Linked DNA regions of Oreochromis niloticus. The protein of the gene in region 1 purifies or fractionates together with the protein of each later gene. This does not show direct contact. Links are inferred from orthologs where the notes say so. Each region holds a gene or a part of one and is shown on either strand. Other genes may lie near its edges.

The links.
Region 2: the proteins of dyrk1ab (region 1) and crebbpa purify together in Homo sapiens (affinity purification with mass spectrometry; 4 studies listed by BioGRID and IntAct, with this or other methods). This does not show direct contact. The link is inferred for Oreochromis niloticus from reciprocal best matches to the Homo sapiens genes DYRK1A and CREBBP.
Region 3: the proteins of dyrk1ab (region 1) and rb1 purify together in Homo sapiens (affinity purification with mass spectrometry; 4 studies listed by BioGRID and IntAct, with this or other methods). This does not show direct contact. The link is inferred for Oreochromis niloticus from reciprocal best matches to the Homo sapiens genes DYRK1A and RB1.

The regions. Positions count from the first base shown.
Region 1 is NC_031979.2:25,834,236-25,841,287, forward strand, and holds the start of dyrk1ab (dual-specificity tyrosine-(Y)-phosphorylation regulated kinase 1A, b), read right to left. Parts: upstream 3,019-7,052; 5' UTR 2,183-3,018; intron 2,127-2,182; exon of another isoform or gene 1,350-2,126; intron 384-1,349; 5' UTR 344-383; coding exon 314-343; intron 1-313. UniProt on the Homo sapiens protein: Dual-specificity kinase which possesses both serine/threonine and tyrosine kinase activities. Exhibits a substrate preference for proline at position P+1 and arginine at position P-3.
Region 2 is NC_031971.2:30,620,780-30,627,965, forward strand, and holds the start of crebbpa (CREB-binding protein), read right to left. Parts: upstream 3,022-7,186; 5' UTR 2,180-3,021; coding exon 2,092-2,179; intron 1-2,091. UniProt on the Homo sapiens protein: Acetylates histones, giving a specific tag for transcriptional activation. Mediates acetylation of histone H3 at 'Lys-18' and 'Lys-27' (H3K18ac and H3K27ac, respectively).
Region 3 is NC_031975.2:11,022,691-11,029,689, reverse strand, and holds the start of rb1 (retinoblastoma-associated protein), read right to left. Parts: upstream 3,022-6,999; 5' UTR 2,613-3,021; coding exon 2,503-2,612; intron 2,038-2,502; coding exon 1,917-2,037; intron 521-1,916; coding exon 417-520; intron 1-416. Other genes in the region: slc6a7 (sodium-dependent proline transporter), read right to left, coding at 6,594-6,764, 6,864-6,999. UniProt on the Homo sapiens protein: Tumor suppressor that is a key regulator of the G1/S transition of the cell cycle. The hypophosphorylated form binds transcription regulators of the E2F family, preventing transcription of E2F-responsive genes.

The sequences.
Region 1 (7,052 bases):
TTTAAATTTAAAGCACTTCAATTTGTCATGACTACTTTGTTTTACTGCTTGTTCAGTTCAGACAAAAAAACAAAAACTAAACTAATTTTAATTACTTTGAGCTCTGCAATCAAATAAGTTGCAATGAATTAAATGGTAAATACTATACTGATAATTCTTAATTATTCATCTTTACTTGACTTTTTTACCCCCTAAAGAGAGTCCTACAAATTTGTGAGTCTGAATTTAAAACAACAACAAAACTGAAAGAGAAGCTCTTAGAAGAGCACTACTTCCTCACCAAAGGGTTAAGGCTTAATATATAGCAGCTAACCTGGATGCATCTTCTCCTGTAAAATTTCATATCATCCTGGGAGGAGAGTCCAGCAGCAAACCACAACCCACTACAAAGAATAAAAACAGAATATCATCATTGTGCATCTTTGGTGGGACTTAACTTCATAGGGGTTAAACTTTTCATAAGAAGGGACAGAGAACTGCTAGAGAGCAGAAGACACCCCAAAACTTTAAGAAGCTCACTTGGGGTAGATGTGTTAATGGAGGGAGTTTACAAACAGACCTCAAATTTGAAAATTTTAAGCTACTTGTGCTTTTGTTGTAAAGATAGTTAAAACCCAGGAAATTATATATTTGAAATACTTGCATATAGCTCTTGTGAAACTTCTAAATAGTTCTATCAGAGACATTAACTAAAACAGGATTTGCATTGTTGTGGATCTAGAAGAGCACTTGACCTCCTCTCAGCATGTTCATACCGATTTTAAAAATATAATCTAAATGGGGTGAAATTAAATACACAATATATTTTATTAAAATAGCCATCTGCTACTGTGAATCCAACTGGCCTTACTGCCATTACTGTTTTGACAAAGAACTGAAAAAGTTTGGTTTGAGAGAAATTCACAAACACAATGGCAGGCATTATACTAACAAAACTAAGAGGTAAAATTGTCTTTTAATCAAAAAGACAAACCCCACAGGGAAAATATCAGCTCTATTTTAACACAAAGCCATTTTGCAAGCGCACTTGTGGCTCTTTAGTCTCCCCCTAAATGTCTGATTCTTGTTAATTTTCAGTACTGACATATGAACAGTTCCTTTCCTGGCTCTAGTCATTACGGCATCAACGGGCCTATTTAGGTGTAAATATAACGACAGCTAGCTTGCTATTAGTAGCCGTATCATATCATAAGTGATGGCTAAAGACCTCTATAACAAGTCTGCGTGTCATCTTCTCACGCCCAACTGATTAGATCCATTCCAAAGCTGAATCAAACGAAACCAACCCAAAACAATTAAAAGCCTAACGCTCATGTATAAAGACCGTCCCCGGGTAGCTCTGTACTTACAGATGATGGGGTAGCGCTCGTCATGGTTGGAATTTAGGAAGCATATTCAGTGTTAATTTGCGTCCAGTCTTGCTACATATCGTTCGTGTGTGTGACTCCCAATTCCTCGCATAAATGACAAACGTATTCAGGCTCACGTTACCGTTAGCAGTCTAACTAGCTAACGCTGTCGTCGTTAACGTTACCCTGAAAACTGCGGGACAAGCAAGCATATCTCTCACCAATCCAGTGTTAACGTTAGCTAGTGACGCTGTGTGTGCAGCCAGCGGGTTGCGGGGCCCATTCAGCTGGTTCGTCAACAAGTCAGCGTTAACCATTAGCCGAGTTAGCCGATTTAGCTACGAGGCGTTAGCCTGGTTAGCTTCCGCACTCCATTGCTGTAAAAAACAAAACTACACCTCTGCAAGTAATATAGTTAGACAGTAATTCACAACGGAAATATGAGCCAGCAGAGCAACATTTTCTTCAATCCTACAATGACACTGTGTAATATCGCAGGGCTAGCTTTAACGTTAACGCTGTGCCAGCATGACTCTTCGCCCAAACCCACACAATCCGCTGCACCCCTCTCTCTCTGGGGTTAGTCCAAAAACCAGTTCGGATGCTGTTTCTGTCTGACATTAATAATCAGTTGACCTACTGACTGAAAGCAAACGTTATAGGTGGCTCCAGCGGAGTCGGCGCCGCCACAAAACGTTAGCTAGCCGCCATACCACAAGCTACCTTTCTCAACTTCACGATCGCGTCCATCATTGTTAACCATTGACGTTACACACAACATATACATCCACGAAAGCGTTAACCTGAACGCTTTCGCATAGGCTTTTGCTCACCTCTGATGGCACGATCTTCATTTAAAGTCCAATAACCTGTATGATGAGGAAACTTATCCAGTTTGAGATTCTCCCCTCCCTGCACGGTTAGCGAGTAATGTTAACGTTAAATCCAATTCCCCCGTCCTCTGACCGGCTAAAATAATTCGCCAGTCAGGTTCATTGCGCTCTTCATGTCCCAAGCACTATTGAAAAACATCGCCTGTCGAAGAAACTCTTGACTAACGTTACTATCAGCTGATGACAAGCAACATGCTAACGTTAACTAGCACGCATAACTCACCAGCTAACCTTAGCGAGCTGGCTAGCTAGTTGACAAAATGAACGCAGCTAACATTGGCTAGCTGTAGCTTCCGTGGCTAGCCTCAAGCTAACGAATCTAGCCACCGCTAAATAAATGTTCTGCCAAATTCAGATTTTTACGCCGTCTTCGCAAATTTGGCGCCGGCCACTTCGACAAACACGAGAACACGGTTAAATCCGGAGTATTTTAAACGTGAAACGGAATCCGTGTCCTCTGGTAATTTTGGTTAGGAATTTTGTGTCAATTTTCACAAAATGGCGCGCGGTCCAAACCTGCGCAGTGAACCGGCCCGGTGGACCAGAGACACGGACAACTGAGTTAGTGCGGCGCCGCCTAATTATTTCAACTGTGTTAAAACGTCGGCCTCTTGATCTTCTTAATCCGATCCACTAGACGCATTTCGATATCCAAAAACGTCAGACATATATCCACTGACAGCATTATTCCGGCGGGAAGGGAGAACATTTGAAAAGACTGAGCTGGGGAAAAAAACCCTCCTGACAAAATGGCGATGCTCTAGCTTGTTGCCATGGCAACTGTCAATCAAAAAAAAAAAAAGGTACCCGGATGTACCAATGACGAATAAGATCTAACTGGCCCGAGTTACAGGACACACATAACTCCGTGGTGTCCCTGTCTGTCTTTTTCCACCGCGTTTGGCCTGTTGCTATCAACCAGAAGACATTCAATATTTAGCTGTATCTGTAGACGGTTAAAGTAACTGTCTAAAGATACAGCTTCGTATAGCAATATAACCACAAAGAGATTCTATATCAGCCAACACACGGGCATAACAATAACAAAAGGTTAATAACGTGTAAACGTTTTATTTCTTTAATATTTATCTTTGTTAAAAATAGTCATTATTAGACACAGTAATGATGAAATGATGAAACTGTTTAATAAAGCATACACTGCAAAAGTTTTTGGGAGTTGCTAAAATTTCTTAATTCACAAAATTGGTAAGTTAATAGGTAGAAACTTAAAAACTTTATTAATCTTTATTAATTATTAATTAAATCTGTTTGCCTCCTTCCAGTTTTTTTTTCTTTTTTCTTTTCTTTGCATGCATTCACATCTTTCAGATAAAAAAAATAAAATTAATATTGTTTTAATTCAATGGACTTTTTTCAAGCATGAGCAACTTTTTAAGGACATGCAAATTTCAATCAAATTTAGTCTTGAACTTTCAACCTGTCACTCTAAAAACCTAATTTTGTTATTTTGTATATTTCAAATCATTGTCCAGCTGCGTAACCTAAGTGCCCTTGAGCTTCATGGCACAACCTGATTGCTGGACATTCTCCTCATGGATTTTCTGCAAGAGAGCAGAATTCATGGTTCTATCAATTAGGGCAAGTCGTCCAGGGCCTGAAGGAGCATAACAGCCCCAGCCCATCACAATACTACCACCATGTTTAACTCTTCGTATGAGTGTCTTTTTTATGAAAGCCTCTGCTAGTTTTATACCAGATGAAATAGAAATCAAACCTTCCAAAAAGTTCAGCTTTTGTCTTGTCAGTAAACTAAATATTTTTTCCCAGACGTCTTGGGGATCATTAGGATGTTTTTTGGCAAATGTGAGATGAGCTTTTGTGTTCTTTTTGGTTAGCAGTGGTTTTCTTGGAACTCTCCTGTGGATGCCATTTTTGCCCAGTCTCTTCCTTACTGTTGAATTATGCACTCCAACCTTAACTGAAGCAAGTGAGGCCTGAAGTTTGTTAGATGTTGTTCTGAGTTTTTGTGATTTCTTGGATGAATCGTTGATGTGCTCTTAGAGTAATTTTGGTAGGCCAGCCACTCGTGGAAATGTTCATCACTGTTTCACATTTTCTACATTTGTGGATGATGGTTCACTGGAGTCCTAGAGCCTTAGAAATGGCTTTGTAACCCTTCCCAGACCGATAGACGCCAATGACTTCTTTGTTTCTCAGCTGTTTCTTTAGATTGCGGCATGATGTGTTGAGATCTTTCAGTCTGCTTCTCTTTGTCAAAGAAGTTCTGTTTAAGTGAAACAGGCTGATTCACTGGCAGTAATCAGGCCTGGGTGTGGCTGGTGAAACTGAACTCAGCTTTCCAAAACCAAAATGTGGTTGATCACAGTTAATTAAGGATTTAACAATGGTTGTCCACACTCCACCAGCAGCAGCTCTATGTACAGTGGAACTCAGTTTGAGAACTACTGTGGTTGACTGCATTCGATTTTTTCTCTCTGTTCCTGTTAAAGATTCACAATGAATGGTGAAACTTAATATTTTTTTCACTTCACTGCCTGATTATTGTGGCCAGACAAATTCACTATAGCAATGTTATTAATGTTGTTTTTTCTCTTATTCTCAAACTGGGGGCTGGAGAGAGTGTTCATAACCATGTAATTGCAATAAGGCATTAAAAAATGACATTATTATTTTTTATTTAAAATATTGTCATGCATGCATCATTTCATTAAAGGAAAATTAGTTATTTTTATTATTATATTATAACAACGGTGGAAGCGATGTATGCATTTTACAGTTTTTCAATTATTTAAATGGAAAAGAGTCACAATATCATATATGTTAACACGTTACCAAGGAGGAAAGACAGCAGCAACGATCTCAGAGAAATAACTAGTATGGACCAGCAGTCTGAAAAGATTATAAGGCCATTCATGAATAACTTGAAATCCATCATTCAAGGCAGTTGCCAATCTTCCCAGCGGTGGATGTTCTAGCAAATTCACCCCAAGCTCAGACTGTGCAATTCTCAGAGAAACTGCGGCTTTGTTGTTGTTTGTTTGATGTTTGGCCATAATACACAGTTCTTGGAAAACCGAACACAACATGAGCATAAAGAACAACTGTCGAGCACGGTGGCGGAGGCGTGATGGTTTGGACTAGGTTTGCAGGATTGAGTCAGCCATGAACTTCTCTGTGTACCAAAGTGTTCTAGCACCAAATGTGACCGATAAAGCTTGGCTAAAACTGGGTTAGACAGGAGAATATTCCCGAGCACAGCAGCAGGTCTAAAACACAATGGCTGAAAAATATAAGAATTAAGGTGCTGCAGTGGCCCAGTCCAAGTGGAAAGACTTTAAGAGAGCTGTGTATGAATGAATGAAGAAACACTGTAAAGAAGAGTGCAATAAAAATTCCCCCACAATGATGTGAGAGACTGATAAAGTCATACAGAAAACAGTTACTTCAAGTTAAAGTTATAGAAGTTTTTGTATCATGCGGTGAACTTAGTTTTTTTGTTTACTTTTTTATTAAGCCAAACATATACGTGTCCTGGGAGAATATTAAGCCACATCAATTGAAACTAGCACAGTAAGTTGTGGCTCATGTATGATAAAAAGAGTTTAAAACAAAGAGTATTTAGAAAGCTTTTGTTGAACATTTACATATGATGATGTACGTCAGTCAGGTCTTGAGCAGGTAACACTTGCAGGACTTGTCTGAATAATGACTACATATAACAGACAAACGCTTAAAGATTCAGACATCTCAGAGCTGGAGAAACAAGTTGAGCCAGGAAATCTCATGCTAGTGTTTTGTGTTGACCGGAATGGTCTGGGAGTTTATTCCTTACTATCATGAAATAAAGACTTTATAAAGACAGAAATATTGATTGAAGATATCTTAACAGCAAAACAACGGGACAAAAACAGACTGTGTAGTGGAATGGGCTAATTACTTACTGTAAGTGCAAACAGTGACCTTTTCTAACTGTAACTGACATTTCTCATTGTTACGCCTGTTTTGTGATATGTTTAGGCTATAGAAATAAAGCAGATTAAACTAATTTAAATTAGATTATTTAAATTCATTTTTACCGCAGAAGTTTGAAAGTTTACTTATTTATCTGTATCTGTAAGACTCATGTCATTATCACGAGTCATGCATGTGTAACATGCTTTCCAGTGTCTGTGTTTTCAACAACAGTTTGAGCAAAAGGCCACCATGACTGAGATGTCTGCAGTGATAATGAGAAGTGTTCTTAAGTACTGCAACCACAAAATAAACAAAGTTAATATAATTAACTCATGTTAAGCGCTTAACAAGAGACAAGGAGTTTGAGGCAAGGAGTTTGCACAATTTTGTAATAAAGCTCGCATATCTAATTTTATACTGGATGTTTAACTAGCATCTGGGAAACTGTAAAGTTTTACTTGCTCATTTGTTCATTTTCAGGTCAAACACTCATGTAACAGCGAAACCTATTGTCTGAAAAATGTCCCTAAAACAATATTTATCTTGACACATGTACTGCACGCAGCAGTGAATTTTACTTTAAGAGGTCGCAAGAGGTTCAATTCATTATAATGAAAGGGAAGTTGTAAACTTATGACATCTGCTGGCTGTGTGGATTCCATATTAGGAGACATACATCCAGTTGAGTGACGAAATACAAAACAGTCTCCATTCTGAATGATCAGTTCAACTGATGGTAGCGTCAAGCTTTAAACAAAGGGGCATGGGGCTGAAATAAAATTCAAGCACCAACTTGTGGCTTTTATTGTTAAAGAGCAGGACTTCACAAGCACACTAATCCCTCAGGAAACAACTGCTTTCCCTTCATACTCTA
Region 2 (7,186 bases), on another chromosome or scaffold:
TCAAAAGGATTTTGGATGCAGTGTATTTTCACAGAAGCCTTTCATATGTTTAAATTTAAAAAAAAAAAAAAAAAAAAAAAAAAATTAAAACCAAAACAATGGGCAAAGGGAGCAGGAAGGACACATGGGAGTCTGGTAGTACATGTTAGGCCCAGACTAATGGGTATTCTTGACCGTAAAGCCTGTAAACTTGTGAAAAATCCCCAGGGGATGTTTGGAAGTGTAACTGTTGCACAGAAAACAGATCAGGTGAAGGACCTTGATTGATACAGTGAAAAATGTAACCGCTAATGATCATTCAACAAGTTCACCAATGGAAACATTGAGATTTTTAACTACTCTAGAGAGATGCTGTTAACGTTGGGCTCCAGCTAAAATGTCATTGTGGCGTGAAGTGAACCAAACAGCAAAAATATGCACTATAAATGAAAGGTTTGTGCTTCATGTACAGCACAAGGGAGAAAAATAAGAAAGAGAGAGAGACCTTTGCAGTCAAAATAAGTTTAAAAGGGCCACTGTTTTATCCCCAACACTTTGTTTTCACTGAAACACAAAATCAGGAATTGAAATTATAAATTGGTTAATTGCCGAGCCCTAGTTTAACTGTAATTCGGGGTGCTTCTGCATGTAAAGCATACATTACTTTCTGATTATGCTGAAGATATGAAATTAACTCATTTTTGTATCTTCACACCAGGAGCAACATTTTCCCATCACAGAAACAGCGAGCGCTGCAGAAATGCAGTTCAGCTACTCCACCTTTACCACACAGTACTGCAGACAGGTTAAGAGTGCTGCAATAACTCAGGTTTTCATTAAGGGCCCATGAAGCACCTCAACAAAAACACGCAGTCAATCAGATGAAAGAAAAAGACACGTTACTCAAGGGTTTTTTTTAAGTCTCCAGATGACTTTATAATTTCAGCTATCAACTTTGGAAGAACAAGTCAAAAAGTTGATTTAAAATAAGCACTAGTCTTGTTTTATAATAAAAATGATTTTTTAGGGCCAGGTGGGAACTCACATCCCCAATCTTTGCTTTCCAATTACAAGAAATGACAGATACAAGACAGGCATTTCCTAATCACTCAAATTCCAATACTCAGAGCCACATACAGATTTCTATCTTGCATTCCTACACATTTTTTTTCAGCAGTGCCCACGTCTGCTGAGATATGTGACGTTATAACCATATCTGCACTCTCTGCAAGAATTCAATAAGTTAAAGGAAGCTAGCACCATCCAGACTGAGTGTGGCTATGTAGGCTTGCTCAGGGATGGATGGAGTGGCCATTGGGATGAGTGAGGGTTGTTTTTTTGTTGTTGTTTTATAGCCGCAAGCTGAACCAAGTGGGCACAGCTACCAAAATGGTATCTGTTAATAGTCGTTTTCTTCTCTGACACGTGATTACACACACCTAAAATCGTACCTGAAATAAATGGAAATGGATGCAAACTTCATCAGACTTAGTCTTAACAGGTGAACAAACATTGGCATTAAGTGGTATGTGATTTGTGATTTTGAAGACAATATTATTTAAGCTAATTAGGGCCTAGGTTACCTCTGTGGGTCTATCATGCCATGTGTACCTGCTGTTAATGCAATGTCAGGCTACCACAAAAAACACCACCTTGCACCTGATTCGAGAAATAATTGCCATTTTAGTCTTGTGGTTTTTCAAAGCGTTACAGTACAGCAATGCAAAGCTAATGCAACACCTCTCAAGATAGCAGAAGTTTTATTTTTGCTGCAGGTAATTTAAAGTTAGAGTTGTTGTAGCCGTGACCACTTTAGACGCTCAGGTGAGTTCTTGTGCTGATCGTATTGTGTTAAGGTTTGCTGCAGAAGTCAAGGCGACTGTACCAAGACTGGCATTTGCGTATTAAGGGTAGGTGCAGTAAATGCTCACCTCAGAATGAAACCACAACACTGCGGTAAAACCACAGTAACTGCTACCCAACCGACTGGATAACGTGTAACGTTGCATCAATGGGATCGGCTGATTTAATGCCCATTAGTAAAAGAGAAGTTTAAGTGCAAATGTTCATTACATTTGGGTTTGTGTGTGCCGACAGTATCGAGGCCTTTACCTTGTCCATCAGACGTTGACAGGGCAGGTGAATTCAGCTTCGGCCGCTTAGAGAGTGGAGGTCCGGCGTCCAGCAGGTTTTCAGCCATAGTTGAAATCTTGCCTGGCCGGTCGCTTAAGTTGATGATTCTGATTAGCTTATACGTAGAAAGTTGTTCAATCACCAAAAACCTTCCCGGTTAGCACGTTAGCAAGCTGGCAGCCTGCTAACGTTGGCTAACTGGCTAATAGCTAGCTAATTGCCTGCTACCAGCTAAAGTAACTGTTAGCGTTTAGCTACTCCTCGCCGTGAGAGTCGGTGTCTTTTAAAAGAGATGCAATAGCGCCCCGCTTCGCCACCGCCATTCACCCCATGATAATCCAACACCCAACACCCACATTATTATCGTTAAATACCCCAAAATAAAATATTCCCCATGTAAAAATCGAGCCTCACACTGACGATCCAGTTAAATCAGGTGGATTGCTGCATTCCGGGAGAAAAGTCGTAATTTCTAGATGTTCAAAGTACCCATTTTGCGTGACGTCAAATTTCTTCATGCAAAAATCGCGCGAAGCTCCACAAAAATGCACAATTGCATAAAAATGCCGTATTTTTGCAAATCTCTTCGAAAGTCACGATCTGCTCTCCGCTTGCCCACGGTAAACAATACTGCTCCCGAACGGCGACAGGGGCTGAATCACCGCACTCTGAAGGGGAAATCAGATATACGGAGCTTTTCTGCCCGACGACCACCAATCCAATTCCCGTTTTTTCGCACAAAATGTCTCCGAAGCGATATTACGATTTCGTTTTCGGCAGAAGGCCGCTGTCATACCACGGGAAGGATGCTCGATTTCTACGTAAAACCCAGTGTTGGACCGAAATCCTAATTCCGAGCCACGACAAGATGGCGGCTGTTGATTCCTTCGGTACAAAAAAGTTTTTTTTTCTTTTCCAGATCGGCTGTAGAGGGGGAGGGGCCGCGCATTCACGCCCTACGTGAAAACACCATCACCGCTGACCGCTGGGGGCGCTACAGCACAACCAGTGATTCACACATGCACTTTACAACCCACTTGATCTTATCTTTTAAGTTATTTTTGTAAACTTGGGGCAAAATATATACATTAATATATAAAAGAAATATCATTTATAAGATGTTTTAATGCAAACTTAAATATTTTACCTTATTTTTACAAACTCACGTGATTTTTTCTGGAAAAAAGAAATTAGATATAAAATGTACATTTCAAGGATCTGAATTTGCTTTAATAACTGGAAAAATATGAATCTCTGCATGATATTGGAGTTTTTTTGACTACAATAAAAATACTCAAAAGTTTTCAGTTTCTAGCCACTTATTCGTCATTTTTTAAATCATATTTTACTGTCTTTTAAATTTTGTTATCAGTTTGCAACAAATTATTAAAACATACCTTCTTGCAGTTAAAATGCACTTGGTCAATATGAACTGTGCCCCAACTTCAGTCATCAGCTGGCTGCTGATAAAGATCACAACCCTGTCTCCAATTTTGAGACCTTTTAGGTTAGGCCTAATCCTCCCTAAAACCTGTCCAATTTGTAAGTTGCCTTTTTGAGAATCTCTAAGTTGCTTCCCTCACCTCTTATTTAGTTCTACAAATGCAAAACTAAATGACAGTACAGTCTGTCATCAGTCATTATATGCACAGAAATTCAACTCTACGTAACTTTACACGTCACAGTATGCTAGACAGTCCAAGCTTTCCGCTTGGAGATTTATTTCTCTCATACTGAAAAAAAGAGGAATAAAGTCATATAACTCACACATAAGCAAACAGACACACAATAAATCAATCTGATAATATGTGTCTCTTATTCATTGTTTTTGGACAGAATCTGACACATGCACATGTATAAAAAAATCATATGTGACAAAATAACTGCATATGTACAAACACTGAGTGCTTTGTGCAAATGTGTACAGATTACTATCACGTGTTGATAAATGATACATGGGTAATGTGCACAAAACGTACATTATACATCTCATTCATGAACATTAAACAAATACATTTCAAATCAAACAACACTGTTTAAAATCTGTCCCAGTGTAACTTAAAACACATACGGGTAGAATTTACTTGCAAATTATAATGAAAAGACGTGCAGCTGACATAATTTAAAATGAGTGACAATGTGATGCTTAAGTGCTGACACTCTATGCCTTTATGTATTTCCCTTATTTCTCTGTCATAAAGCAGAATCACACTTCTGCAAAAAGAAAAGAAAGGAAAAAAAAGAGATGACTGAATGCCATGAACTTATCCTTTTTTAAACTGGAGAACTATCTTCTGCCAAAACTGAAACAAATCATTTATAAATACACTGTCAAATAAGGACAGTATTCAGGTAACCTTAAATGAGCAAAGCTTAGTGATTTGAATTTCCTGAATACTGGAAATCTATGCATAATAATTAACATATATGTAGAATGACATTGAAATGAAATAGGATGACAGTATAGTACAGAATCAAACTAAAAATAAGGAGAGGACTAGCAAAGAAGGAAACTACTCACATGCAAACAAGTCTCACTCACACACATCTCCCCCTACTGCACCCCAGGTCACATAAGTCAGCAGCGTGTAATATTTTATTCATATGTGTGTGTACAGATTAGTGCTACCGGAGAGGTTGTGTACCCATGAACCTGTGGAGTTCTTCCTACGCCACCTCAGATCTATGGCTAGTTAGTGTCACTGCTGTGCATGGTAGGGCTGCAGGCACATGGCCTGAAAATCCCATAGATCATCTAACAACGCAAGGCAACAAGACGGTGAACTTTCCTTCACAGCTGATACTCGATAGTCTCCTTTGTTTGTGTTACATTGTGTGCTATGCTTCATTAGATCTGGCAAACAAGAGCAAGTGGAGAAAATGCACAAGTAGTGTAAATCTTTCAAAAAATAATGATTCTGGGCAACAAAAGCAGGACTCTTAACTATTTCAGCGTCTGCAGTGACGGCTTCTGGAGAAACCTCTTTGGATTTTCAGGGTATTAATGCTACAACGGTTATGATAATTGATGCTATGATTAAACATAGTCCACATTCAAAAGGCACAGGCTGTGTATGTCCAGAGAGCTTAGTGAAAGAGGTAAATAAACATGTTTTGCTACAGGTCCCGACAGCTACATAACTCATCCTTCTTGTCATTCTGGCATTTTTGCATGTGGACATATTTCTGAACAGAGAAAGGCCATCTAACCCAAATGCTGACTCATTTTTAAAACATGTGGTGGTGAAAGCTGAAAATGAGTAATCTATGGATAAGGCAATAGCAAACTGTCTCCATTTCTGTCTTTTTTATATGATTGAGTTGACATAAAACTTTATATCTCTCACACACTTAGGAAATATAAGAGAGAAGCACGTGCTTTCAGGAGAAAAGACAAAGCACGAAGTGAGGAAAGAGAAACGGGAAACGAGCAAGCGATTTAATGGGAGCGCCACCACACTTTTCCAGATGGCTGGTTTGTGTCAGGAGGAAAGAACTGGAAAGCAGCACAAAAAAATATCTGGAATTTATCAAAAAAGAAACTAAACCTGCACACAATGACCATTAATTTTCTCAAATATACAATCACAATCTATCCTCAGCATAATGACAGCTTGGTAAAAAAAAAAAAAAAAGAAAGAAAAAAACTTTCTGGAAACCAAAAACTGAAAAAAAAAAATACAGTCATACTTTCAGGCACCACAAACAATCAGCTAGATTAGGCTGCACTGCACCTATAATCACTCAATTAAAGTGGCACAATTTTATTGAATCAGTAGAGGCCCCGATTGGTGAAAACACTGACAGGATCAAGGTAATAAGTCCCAATCTTTCAACAGCAAATCACAAAGATAAAGGCAGATGACAATGATCTGTTGGGTAATCTGCACGGATGGACTGACCATTGTTTAATTTTTTTTTCTTTTAGCAATGAAGGCAACGAAAAAAAAGTCACAAGATTTAAGTCTGAGGTTTTACACACAGTACTGTGGAAACTGTCACACATCCCTAAATTGACACCGACGCCAACAGCCTGTGGACCACCCCATCACTGACCAAGAACTACGCAGTGATTGTCCCTCACAGTCCCATTTAAAGTTATACTTCACCTGAAATCCTTCGAGCATCAAGCGCTCACCTCATCGGAGGACATGGTGATATTCTGTATTTGTCTTACTGACTCCAATGAAAACAAAATTAAAGCACTGGCAATACTTGCAAGTATCATACTACCTGCCAGCATTATTAGGACTCTCTTATAATTAATAATGAGTGAAATCTGTGTTGTTGGTGTGGATGTGAGTGCGGTAAATGGGAGTGCTGAATTTATGGTAGTTTGAAAGAGTGATTCTCGTATTTTGGCTATTTATCAGGATTCCAGTAGGAGCAAATGGGATAGTGGCTGTATTCAAAGACAGGCCAACACGCTGCTGGCTTCCTCTTCATTCTTTTCATTTGGTCAAAACAAAAATACAAAATATCACCAGAGAGATATTTGGTCTTCCAAGCAGCCCGCCATATAAAGGAGTGGTTCTGATCAAAGAAAAAGCTGAAATATCAGCTAGCTCGCATCGAGACAATTTTACACTACCTGTAAAATTGGACATGTGTGAGAGGTGAGCGTTTAATGCCTGAAAGACAGATCCCAGTATATTTAAAGTGCCTTCCTGCATTTGTGATGGTCTCACTTTTTAAAACCACCTTTCTTCCAGATCTATAGTCCCTTGTCTGATTAGATTTTGTGGTTTTGATTCTCTCAGCTCTGTTTAAAGTTTCTTAAAAGCTATTTATTGGTAATAACTACTGAATACAAGTGGTCGAAAAAAAGAAAAACACTGTGCAAGACCTTTGCTTAAAATGTGCATTGAGCTGCTACACGAACTAAAATCTCTGCAGCCTGCATGTCCCTTGAAAGTGAGACTCTGGCACAAATGAATACTGTATTAAGCCCTGATGTCAAAGCACAATACATAAATTAACACTGCTTCATGTGATTCCCTCATTCTTCCCAAAGTTTCCAGCTCCGCCTGTCATGCTGCATTGGCACTTATATAAAATCTAAAATCATTTTCCC
Region 3 (6,999 bases), on another chromosome or scaffold:
ATCCATTCGTCCGTCAATCTGTTTCACAAACTATCCAACTGAGAGATGAACAATGGACCTGGAGCCTATACCTGGACTCCTTTTCCATCCATCAAAGGGTGAACACACAAAGATCTATCTACAGCTGGAGTAAGTAGCAGGAGGATACATGTTTAATGTTCTTACACAGCCTGTAGTTCTTCTACTTTATTTCAAATAGCAATCCCAAATAAAGTTCTGCTTTTGCTGAGTAAAAAACATCTGCTACCCTGAAAAAAAAAGTTTCCTATTTCCAAAGAATGAAAATCCCAGCAGCTAATACTCAAGCAAGGCTCAAGTCATCAGCTACCCAAAAAAATTTCACATTCACCAATATCCCATGCCAACAGTGGGACTGTGAGGTTATGTTTTGTCAAGAAAACATAGCAAGCGCTTACTTCAGACAGACTGCTTTCAGAACCTGGGTCAAGGTGAAACAGGTGGCATCCATGTCTGTCACAGTCACAAACAGACAAGCACCCCAAAGCTTCTTCTGACTGTCCTGAAACCAAATGACAAAGAACAATGTTAGAAGATGCTCGTGTCACATCTTTTCACTTTTTGTTAGGAATGGAAGAGCAACTGTTTTTAAGGGGATTATAAAGCTATTCCACTTTATTTCTTTCGGTACTTTTTAAATTATTATTTTTTGGACTGTTCCTGGCTACTGGTTAAAAGGCAAAAATACTTAGCCTCCTAATATCCCATTTCACCAATAAGACACAGTGGATATTGTGTGTAAGCTTTGATTTAAAATTGGACTCAGTACTGCAAAAAGAAAGCTTACATAAAGGGTTTTTAAAGGGTTTATGGCCAAAACAGTACAAATTGTACTTTCTTTCACTCCCCATGCATTTACATGCCTATCACTAACTTTGTGTTGTCTTCTTCCCACAGCTTGTGATTTGCCATGTTTGTGGACTTTCCTTTTCTTGTCTTCTTTTTGGATCTCTTTCAACAATGTTGTAGAACACAGGTGTCGAACTCCAGGCCTCAAGGGCCAGTGTCCTGCAGGTTTTAGATATCACCCTGGGTCAACACACCTGAATCAAATGATAAGTTCATTACCAGGCCTCTGGAGAACTTCAAGACATGTCAAGGAGGTAATTTAGCCATTTAAATCAGCTGTGTTGGATCAAGGACACATCTAAAACCTGCAGGACAACAGCCCTCGAGGCCTGGAGTTCGACACCTGTGTTGTAGAACAGGGGTGGGCACCGAGGGCCGGTGTCCCTGCAGGTTTTACATGTGTCCTTGAACCAACACAGCTGATTTAAATGGCTAAATTAGCTCCTCAACACGTCCTGATGTTCTCCAGAGGCCTGGTAACGAACTAATCATGTGATTCAGGTGTGTTGACCCAAGGTGAGATCTAAAACCTGCAGGGACACCGGCCCTCGGGGCCTGGAATTGCCCACCCCTGTTGTAGAAGCTCTGATTTGCAGGAGAGATTGGATACACCCTGGTTTCTCTATACTTGAGAAGGGTCATATGGACTAAACCGTTATTAATGAATAAAATAATGCTGAACTGTGCGGGGTTATGCTATAGTTAAACACCCTTGACAGGCCATAGGGCTAACGCATAAAGACAATCAGTTTAGAATCACCAAACTGACTGTGTCTCAGTTCTGACCCCAGTGAGAACCCAACCAGAAACAGGAGGACATACAGCCTGGATTTGTTTTGCTGTGAGGTGACAGTGATAACCACTGCACCACCATTCCATCCTGCAATATGTATTGCTTTGGGTCAAACACTGTTCTAATTTGTTGCTGTATAAGATAAGGAATTTAAATGATCGATTTCCACTCATGCTTTTTCCAGGACAGGCGACAGGACTGCAGTATTATAAATGTAGAGTGGAACTACTGAACTACAGTATGTGCAAATACGTACAGCAGCTTCATCCACGGACTCCTGAACGGTTTTCCACAGCGTCCAGGCTCGATCACATACAGGGTCAGTCACATGAAGGCTCTTGCACAGAGTCACAAACTCAGCATCCTTGTCTCCGTACCTAAAAGATGGAGACCAGAGGTTAGCAACCACGGAAAACACGAATACGGTTTCAGGAAATCAAAACAACTGCACTCAAGACAACGGTCTAGTCTTATGAGGTACTCTGACTGCCAGTCAGAGTCTGAGCAGGGTACAGGGTATAGTAGGGTATAGCTCTCAAACACAGCGTTTGAGAGCTATACCCAGACTACATTTCAAATTTCATTCATTACTGAATAGTTACTCTTTGACCAGTTGTATGGGGCTAAACATACTTTTAAACTCGCTGTTATTAGGCCGGTGGACACAGCTAACAGATCAGCCTGACGTTTAGTCGCACAAGCTAGCGAGCAAGACAAACGTAGCTGGGGGAAAGACCAAAATATCTGTCTACAATGTCAACATTTTTTTATTTTTTTATTTTACAAAGCCACAAACTGAAGCTACTGCGACTTGACGGCGAGGTGATCATTACTTCTCTTACTTCTTAAGAGACAACTCTGGACTTTCCTTCTTGTCTGGAGAGGCATTTTCAGCAGTGGGTTTCATCTCTTTGCTCTGTGACGTCCCAGAATTGCGTTTTTTAGGTGGCATCTTGGTATCCGGTTACGTAACGGCCAATAATTAATAGATAAAACTCAAATATGTTTTAAAGCCGACTGATATTGTTTACTAAGTGTAAATCCCACTTCAAGAGTTCCGTGACAACAAAACCTCAGTGACTTCCTGCAACTGTAGATCTGTGGATGCTCGTTTTGTATCAACGTACTGCGCGGTGAAGCGCCGTTGGCGACGCTGCAGCGGTGTTACAAGTACTCGGCGGTTAGTGCTCAAAAACCTGTCCACAAGACTTTGTTCATTTGTGTTTTTGCGATCGTCAGTCTCCGTTTAAACTCGGTGTTGTCAGAACTTCTGTCAAAGAACCGATTTATAACTTCTCACGCACAGACAAGAGGTCTGTCATTGCAAACAGACAGATGTAGCGTTACGCCGGGATCACGTGACAAAAACCGCAAACGAACTAACCCAACCCGAGGACTCGAAAACGCGGGAAAAAAAGTCTACGTAACATCCTGTTCGACCTCCAACGCGCCTGGAACAGAAATAGTAGTAATATAGCCCCTTTACATACACCTGCAACCCACAACATTTAAACCTTCTGCTTAATATCGGAAGCGTTTATTCACTCATTGTCGTGTTCCTCAATTAGTTTATGTGGCACTTACAGGCTGCACTATTTCGGGAGGGGAGGCTGTGCCTCTGCAATAATATATGTTAAAGTAATATCATGTAAAAACAAAAAAAAACGATGTCAAGGCTTCCCGGTAGAGGACATTAAATGCAGTTAGATGACCATTATTATCCCGTTCACCTGGTTTTTATCTTGCGGGTGATAAGTGTAAATTATAGCACACATGTACATGTTTATTTGGCAGCTCTGTTAGTGTGTAAAACTTCACCTCTAAGTGTGCAATCGTTGCCCTCTCGTGGCAAAAATTCACAAATAACTTGTGCTGCAAGCTTTTAAGAAACCTTTCCAGTGAGTACATATTACCTAGTTAGAGGACCCTCAATCACCTCTATTGTCTGTTAGTAGCATCCTACTTTCATGCGGAAATACATTTCACCAGCCATGTTATGAGGTTCACTTTGCCACTAAAGGGTTGGATCCCCTTTTGCCTTTAGAACTGCCTTAAGTCTTTGTGATAGAGGTGGGCTGATCGATCCAAATATTGGTAGCATTGATACCACTGCTGGTATTGGTACTGGATTGATACTAGCGCAGTAGGATTGATACTTTCTTTGTTAAGTTCAGTATGTAACCCACTGACTTGTGTAAAAAAAATATATATATAAGTTATTTTTTGGAAATGAAAAAATATGCGTCAAACATACACTGTGAAAAATGACTGAACCTTTTTGTGTGGACAGTCACATCTACTTTATTTATAGCCTGTCTTTATAGGTTAAAAGTATTGGTATTGCTATCTATTGCAATACTGGCCCTGTGTTTACTCGTTATTGGATTGATACCAAATTTTGCAGTACTGCACACTACTACTACTACTTTGTGACACAGATTCAGCAAGGTGCTGGAAACATTTCTCAGAGATTTTTAACCATATTTATATGACAACATCCCACAAATGCAGCATATTTTTCTGTTACAGAGCCACGATGCAAATCTTCCACCCACAACATCCCACATCAAAGGTGCCCTATTGGATTGAGAGCTGGTGACTGTGGAGGCCATTTGACTACAGTGAACGTGCAGTCATGTTCAAGAAACTAATTTGAAATTATCTTAGTTTTGTGATATGACACATCATCCTGTTGGAAGAACCTATCCTAAGGTAGTCATAAAGGGTTGGTCAAGGTCAGCAGCAATACACTGTGGTACAACTTGAATGCTGCTTAATTGGTACTAAGGGGCTCAAAGTGTGCCAAGAAAATTTCCCTTACACCATTACATCACCACTACATGCTGAACCATTAAAACAAGACAGGATGGATCCATGCTTTCGTTCTCTGTAAACCCTAGAGATGTTTGTGTCTAAAAATCCCAGTAGATCAGTAGTTTCTGGAGAACAGAGACCAGTCTGCCTGGCAACAACAACTACACTCAGTTCTCTTAAATCATCTTTACTTCCCATTCTGATGTGTGGTTTAAACTTATCAGATCATCTTGACCATGATTATATGCCTGAACACATCAAGCGGCTGCCACATACCGGTAACTAATAAGTAGTTGAACACCTGTACCTAACAAAGCGGCCAATGAATGTGTGTTGTTAAGAGGCAGACTACCACATCACTGGCCTCTGTGATCACACTAATGCTTCTCATTAGGTTAAGTTAAACTGTTATGGGCTATATATATACTCATCTCATAGCTTCAAGTAGTTTTTAATTGGACACTATAAGAAATATACAATAAGCAAAAGGAACCGTTTCTCATTTAATATAATAATAGTAATGGATTGCATTTATATAGCACTTTTCTAGACACTCAAAGTGCTTTACAATTTCAATATGAGAATATGTATTCAATATAGACACCATTGTACATGAGATCAACAAAGTGAACAGAAACGAAAAATGTTCTTAAATGTTTATGTAAAGGTTTATGAAACGATTCTGCAAGAAAATAATTTTTTTTTTTTAAAACCAACCTCTTTTGATGGTATTTATTTTGTAATTCTGAAATCCAGAAAGGGATTACAAATGCAAAATTTATGAACTGGGGAAATTGCACAATACATTTTTAAGCAATAGCTTGCAAAAAAAAAAAAAGCCAGATGTAGCAAATATGATACAAATTAAAACTAAAACCTGCAAATTTATATTTATTTATTTATGTTTTCAACTTCAGAAATAAGCAGCTTAAATAAGCAATTGAACATTTAAACATTTAAAAGAATTTTCTTGGCAATTATGGTTCAGGCTTTAAATGCTTAATCTGAGAAGACTGATTCTGTGAGCCCTCTTAAACAGATGCACACTACAGGGTCTTCATGTAATTTCTACCCTGTATGTTCTGATGTTACTGTCATCAACTTTAGAACACACAGAAAGTTGTGGCAAATGGGGGCAAATTTAAAACCCCAACAATAAGCTTGTCCAGACTACATTTAACTCCAATGAAACAAAAAACACAACTAAAAATTAAAGTGACAGTAAACGACTGTCAAATTCAAGTTTCAGTGAAATTAAGAGAAAAAACAAGCATCAACTTTAACAATGCCATTTGATTTTTTTTCCCCAAAAGATAACCAACTTTGATATATGTGAAATCTATCTACAGCACTATTTTAGTATTTAGTTGTTACTCGGTTGTATTTAGATGTGCAAAGACAAGTTTTCACTAGACATGACGCAAACACTACATTTTCTGCGGAACTATGGGAACTGGTTATTTGAAATGCAAATGGTCAGAGTCAGGAGTCTTCTTGCATTGAAATACAGACAGTACCATGAGAAATAGTTCATTTGGCAACATATTGTATAAATAATGTATTTATTCTACCAATCATTTTCGCAATCATTCATTTAAAAAATGGAATTTAAAATAATCTTGCTTCAGTGCAGCTGTGTTTCAACGCCATTTAGTCTGAAAGCATGATGATTTGTGGTCACTTCTCTGGTTCCATTAGTGGCATGAAGGGTAACAGTCACAAAGTTCTTTTCCTCCTTGTACAGTAGCTGCTGGCTACTGTCAGTAGACATTCATTGCACTGTGCTACTATAATAATAAATAAGTTCAGCATATACATTGCAAAATCATCTTCATCGACATATTTTCATGAAATCCCACATATAAGATGATAATCCAAGCTTCCTCTAAAACCTCAGTAACCTTATATTCTAAGCAATGAAAAAGAATTTGAAAAATCTATTTATATGTACATAGTAGTATAAATATAGCAGGTAATCCATACTGCCCTGACACAGGACACAGTGTGAGTGACCATAGCCTCCAGAGCTGAACCTCAGCCAATAACAAAATAGTAAATTCCTCTGTCTGTTTAGAGCGAAGTCTGCTCATCATGGTGTATTCACAAATGCTCTGTTCCCTTATGCCTGGCTTCCCACGTCCCACGTCATCGCAGTAAAATCCATGTCGGTGAGCGTGACCGTGTACGGGGGATCCACTTGCTCAGGCTCTATGTGCTCCTCTGCTCTCACTGTGCTGTTCAGGTTATTTTGCCTCCAGGAATTTAGTGGTCGGATTGATTTCTGGAAACGCTGTCAAAACAAAGAGAGAGAGAAAGCCAGAGATAATCACACACCCACTTGAGACTGCTACTGTGACGGTAGTGTACGTTAATGAGTGGTGATACTGACTTCTTTCAGTGTTCCAGTTTCTTTGCTGATGGCGACAATAGCCCAGATGAGGATCTGTAAACAGCAGGTGGCCCCCATGCACACACCTAAGGCTTTACCCCACAGTGGATACACATAGTCGCCGTAGCGGAGTGAC